Saccharomyces cerevisiae S288C: one gene and its partner. The protein of the gene in region 1 interacts with the protein of each later gene in a pairwise test. Each region holds a gene or a part of one and is shown on either strand. Other genes may lie near its edges. The genes, in order: SEC65 and SRP14.

The links.
Region 2: the proteins of SEC65 (region 1) and SRP14 interact in binary tests that used the Saccharomyces cerevisiae proteins (3 or more experiments, as listed by UniProt).

The regions. Positions count from the first base shown.
Region 1 is NC_001145.3:57,359-60,680, reverse strand, and holds SEC65 (RNA-binding signal recognition particle subunit SEC65), read left to right. Parts: upstream 1-1,993; coding exon 1,994-2,815; downstream 2,816-3,322. Other genes in the region: MDM1 (Mdm1p), read left to right, coding at 1-1,742; orotate phosphoribosyltransferase URA5, read right to left, coding at 3,228-3,322. UniProt on the Saccharomyces cerevisiae protein: Signal-recognition-particle (SRP) assembly has a crucial role in targeting secretory proteins to the rough endoplasmic reticulum (ER) membrane.
Region 2 is NC_001136.10:291,269-294,062, reverse strand, and holds SRP14 (RNA-binding signal recognition particle subunit SRP14), read right to left. Parts: upstream 1,283-2,794; coding exon 842-1,282; downstream 1-841. Other genes in the region: clathrin-mediated endocytosis regulator UBX3, read left to right, coding at 1-671; putative dolichyl-phosphate-mannose-protein mannosyltransferase PMT5, read right to left, coding at 1,923-2,794. UniProt on the Saccharomyces cerevisiae protein: Component of the signal recognition particle (SRP) complex, a ribonucleoprotein complex that mediates the cotranslational targeting of secretory and membrane proteins to the endoplasmic reticulum (ER).

The DNA of each region.
Region 1 (3,322 bases):
TAAAGTATCTCGATGATAGATTTTTACCTCTTTTCAAGAAAACACCTTCATTTCTCAAAATGCTTTCAACGTCCCACATCATTTCGACTGATATATATGCTCACTTTCTGAGTAGAATCGGTGGTGTTAACAATCCAGAACAAAACAAAATAATAAAAGATAATGTGAAGACTGATTTTATGAATCCTGTCAGAATATTCGCAAACCCCGGCATCACAGATGCTTTAGATAATATAGTGAATGGATCGGGATCCAAGCCGCATAAATCAAGAATAAGCTCAAATCCCCGTTATTCTCAGCTCTTTGGTTCAGAAAATGACAACATTTTCAAAGATAAACTCTTCGACGATGAAAACGATAATACCTCAGAAATTTCTGTTGTCGAGGATCAGTTGGATCACCCACGTAATATGGAGAAAGTAAGTGTTTCCAGCGGGAATTCAGGCCTAAATCCTAGCCAATTTTATGGGTCAAACAACTTTAGGGATAATATAGCATCCTTGACTATTTCAATTGATCAGATTGAGAAAGAGCTTGAACTTTTAAGGCATTTGATTTTGAAGGCAGATCTGACCAACAATCAAATGCAGTTGAAAATTTTAAAAAAGTCACAAAGAACCCTATTAAAGGAACTAGAAATGAAGGAACTGTTGAAACAGCAATATATGGTACAAGAAAATGGTAATAGTTTGTTCAGAAAAACTAAGATATACATTAGGTCGTACTTCAGTGAGAATTCTAGTAATGGCCTAAAAGAAATAACTTATTATATCATCAATATCCATCATTTTAACAATGGGCAGGTAAGTTCTTGGGATATGGCAAGGAGATATAATGAATTTTTTGAATTAAATACATATTTGAAAAAGAATTTTAGGGATCTGATGAGGCAGTTGCAAGATTTGTTCCCGTCAAAAGTGAAAATGTCATTGAAATATCATGTTACAAAAACATTGCTTTATGAGGAACGAAAGCAAAAACTTGAAAAGTACTTGCGAGAACTATTATCTATTTCTGAAATATGCGAAGATAACATTTTCAGAAGATTTTTGACAGATCCTACCCCATTCAAACTGAACAAGGAATATATGCATGATGATATTCTGGAGGAGCCACTTCATGAACCTATTGGTAGTAGTAATAGCACAAGTAATAGCAGTTCTGTTGTTGATTTACAAAGCTCTGAAGACGGCGGTGAATTGAATTTCTATGAAGATGAAAGACATTTTTTCACCGATTCTGGCTATCCTTTTTATTCGCAAAATAAATCTTTTGTTAAACAGATATGTGACTTATTTATTTCGCTCTTTGCTTTAAATAAGGCCAACGCGGGTTGGTTAAGAGGAAGGGCTATAATTACCGTTTTACAACAGCTTCTTGGGAGCACTATTGAAAAGTATATAAAGGTCAGCATTCAAAAATTGAGATCAGAGGATCAAGTATTTGAAGCAATAGTTACATTCAAGAATATGCTATGGGGTGATAACGGTCTGTTCGAAAGAAAAAGAAATGAAACGGCAGAGGCAACAAGAAGCGAAGGTGAAAGGTTACGGACGGAACAACTCGCTTTAACCAGTTTGCAAAGACTCTTCGCAGACACTTGTGGTCGTGTAGTTGGTCTAAGAGATTCTCATGAAGCTGCTGGCCGGGTCCATGCCATGCTACAGAATCCGTATTTAAATGCCAGCTTACTGTTGGAAGCTCTTGATGCAATTTTATTGGACATAATATGTAATGACTGAAAATAAAACTTGACTAAGTACCGAACAATCTAAAAAAAAAAGTGTAATTGTCACAATAGCAAATAAATTGGTACACTTCTTCAGCCGCTTTAAAAATTGTGTACTTCTTCTTAAAACAATTGGGAAGTATTTATTTTTCACGCTTTTGTAATCTGAAAAAAAAAAAAATATCAATGATATTCAACAGGCTAGCAACTAACGAAATCAAAAGAAATAAAATAAGCCATAAGCTATAGTATCATAAAGTCAAAATGCCTAGATTAGAAGAGATTGACGATTTCAATGATATCGACGACCTTGATATGGAATTGGCCGAGTTAGATCCATCTTTGAGGACGCCGATCGCTCCCAAGATAACGCCTAAGGTTGTAAGGAGCCAGGACCAAGAGAACCCTGCATTTTTACCTGGCACGAATAACAACAGTAATAGCAACAACAATAGTAGCAACGAAAAAGAGCAGTTGAGTTTTATTAACCCAAAAACTGGTAAGGTTGAACGTTCGGAGGCTATTTCGAAGAAAGATTTAGAAGAAGTCAAAAGATTCCAAGTACTCTATCCATGTTACTTTGACATAAACAGATCACATAAGGAAGGGAGAAGGGTTCCTAAGGAGTTGGCTGTTGAAAATCCTTTGGCTAAAACTATGGCAGATGCTGTCCGTGAATTGGGAATATTATGCATTTTTGAAGGTGAAAAATGTCACCCACAAGATTTTGGTAATCCTGGTAGAATTCGTGTACTTTTCAAAGAAAATGGACAATTAATTGGCGCAGCCACTAAATTCAAAGGTGGAAAGAGGCAATTAATGAAAGCTGTTGGGGAGTATATGAAAAGACATCCAACTACTATTGAATCTTTAAGGGAGATTCCATATGGCCCTGATTTCGACAATATTGAATTCAAAAAGATTCCACGTGTAAAGGGATTCAAAATGAATGAGATTGTTCCGCTGCATAGTCCGTTCTTGATGGGCCACCCAATGACAAAATCTGTTTACGAAACTCCTAAGATTACAGCGGCAGAAAAGTCGTTCAAGCCACCAAAAAATAAGTACAAAGTAGTTAGAAGATGATTGTCTCCTTTACCCATTTATGTATATGTATATGTATATTGAGATTAATATATTAATATATTAATAGATTATAATAGCAGAACTATAAGAATATGATGTTTGTTCAGATCAAGTGCTAAATGACTTGTTGTATCAGCTTTTAAATTTTTACATCAAGACAAATCAATTATTCGTATTATTTCGTCTGTAGTTGAAACAGAGTTCAATAAGCCAAGAGTTTTGAAGCAGCTACAGGCAAGAGGTACCGAAACACAGAAAAAAGTAACAAGAAAACTCTCTCGCTCTATATATATGTGTGTGAATATACGCTATTTATACACATATATAGATGAGCGGCGTGCATGTATCGTAGTAACTAAGATTAATAGTTCTTAAAAGAGATAAATAAATCATTTAATTAAAAAACTGATTTTTAAGCGGAGGCACCGTAGGTTTGAAGGTATTGTTCGATCTTGCTTTTCTCTTCTGCTGTTATTCTGCCTTCCAAATAGGTAATTATGTGAATTA
Region 2 (2,794 bases), on another chromosome or scaffold:
CCAATGCATTAAAAATTAGGCAATATCCCCTACTTGGAATAATTTCTTTAAAGGCTGAGAAAAAAATAGAGTTAATAGCAAGAGTTGAAGGTTCTATTTCTAACTACAAAGCCCAAGATTTGGAGGCCATATTCTCCAAGAATTATTCTCGATTAATTCAATTGCGTCAGCAAAGACAAAATATTGAAATGCAGAGATTAATAAGACAACAACAGGATTCAAGATACCAGGATTCCTTAAGACGTGATCAACAAAGAGAATCAGAAAGATTGGAACAGACCCAAAGAGAACAAATGGAAAGAGAGCACCAAAGAATAGAAAACCAATGGCTATTGTGGAGAAAAAGCCAACTAAAACCCGAACCCTCTTCTGATAAAGATGCAAGCAAAGTTGCGATCAGACTAGAAAATGGGCAGAGATTAGTGAGAAAGTTTGACGCATCTCTACCAACGGAGGAGATATATGCCTTCGTAGAATTACAGTTGCATGACATGTTGAACTCAGAAAACGATACTTTACCCGTATACCAACCTGCTAATTATCAGCACCAGTATAGCTTCAAATTGATCACGCCGGTACCAAGAAGAGAGCTTGATTTATCTACCAAAATATCTGACGTTAGCGGCATATATCCATCAGGAAATATTGTAATGGAACGCCTGGACGAATGAAAGGAATTTCAAAAATAGTCATCTCAAAACGTTTATTCTAAAGTTTAGTTAAATTTATATCTACACAACTTTATGCAATTAATCTTTTATATCTACGTTGCCATCCTTTAATCTACACATCCAAAGATAACAAGAGGCGCACATGCCTTTTGACTCAAGTGTCACGTGCATCAGTTTTTCTTCGCTACCTTGTTTTTCTTTCCTGTCTTACTGATGGTACCGTTCTTACTCTTCTTTTTCTTCTTCTTGATCAAATTCTGCATGCCCCCCTTAAATACAGATGAATACTCTTGCCAAAATTGATCTAACTCACTTGCTTTTACCACTGTTGAGCATTTTGTTTTCTTGTCATGCGAGCCATAAGACATTCTGATTAATAGTGGGTATTCTCTGTCAGATCTTGAGCTAACTGAAATTTCAGAAGCCTTTTTAGATACATCATAGTCAGGATGGTTGGTAGAATCAAATTCAAGATTCCCTTCCACAGGATCGTGTTCTATGAGTCTTTTGGCCGTTAGACGCACAGTTATATGTTTTTCATTCGCAGTCTGGAAAAATTCTGGAACCTTTGATAAAAATGCACCTGGTGATAAACAGCCAGTATTTGCCATTGTTTTAGGGTGGTAAGAAAGCTACGTTTTTTGATTTGTATTAAAGAAGAGGTATGCCAACCCGTAAGTTAAACATTAACGTTAAGTATGGCTATTTTTTCAAATGAGAGATATATTATCCTTTTGCACGGGCGAGGAAGTAAGAATATGTAATTAGTTGTTTTGTAGAAGCCTCCAATTTAGGGCGATTATGCAAAGACAATCAAATAGCTGTTGTAGTCTTTATCATCGGCTGAATGTTTTGATCTGCCTACGTTCATCTCCTCATGTGCTTAAAATGCCACTCAGTGGTGATCTTGAAAAGCCCGATAAGAGAAATACCATGTTCACAGCTTTCCTTTTACCGGTTCAATCCTAATTCATCTATTCTTTGTTTATTAAATATCTTGTTGTATTTGACAATATATATGTATATACATTACTTAATACGGATCATTTTTTTGGTATTCGTTAGTTGTTTAGTGAAATTCAACGAAAGAACAAGATAGGAAAGTGTTGCATTGTGACCGGTTATGAACTCTTTTTTCATATACATCTGGTTCTTTTCCATATGTACGTAGATCTTTCCCGCAGTTTAGCTCAAATGTAGTTTTTAAATCTTTTGCTAAACGAATGTCCAATCTGAATACGGGTGGATGGATCATGATTCAGCGTTTAATTCATAGTGGCTATCGGATAGTAATAGTGAATTGCAATAAAAGTCCCAGCTTCCTAACCACTTGGACCTCTTACACAGGTTACTCGACCATCCAGTAGCATAAATAAGTGGAGAATGCTCGCTGAAGAAATAGAAACATACAACCATGAAAATAGCCACCACTATATATCCAGTATTGTTTCTTTTGTTAGAAATATAGGTTGAAATCAGGTCTAAAGCATGACCAAATGCTAGGATACCAAAATAATAGGCCGGCAAATAATCGTACAAAAATAACTTTTGCCCCACAAAGAAGTAAGGGAAATAGTGGGCGGCAAAGCCTAATAAGTACTGAAAGACCTGATAGTGGAAATTTATGATGTGCTTATCCCGTAGAATATTCACACCTAATTTCCAAGCAAGAAGCTCAACAGCCACTCCAATGATGAACGTGCAAATAAATGCTGTGACAGACCACCACAAAACAGCGTTACCTAAAAAGTACACCTCTCTGCCATTTTCATTCCAAAAATCAATACCACGCAACATAAGAGGCCAAGTCTTTGGTTCAGATGAGTAGGCATGACTAGTATCCATATAATTGTTAAGGTAGAACATGAACTTGTGGATAGCAACAAACTTCTGCCAAAAGCTCATTTTCTTATAAGAAACCTTCTCTGGATTTGGCAAAGAAATTTCGTTTTCGTTTTCTTCAATATACCATGAAGTTAAGTCTTCCCTTGCAAAGTATGCACACGTAACTTCCTGCTGCCCGAATCCCCACTCAGGTAGCTTTTCAGGATGTGAAAATAAGTAACAACCAGTTAGATAATGCTTCAGCCTAAATTTGGTTTCAATAGCCCTAATATGTTCCT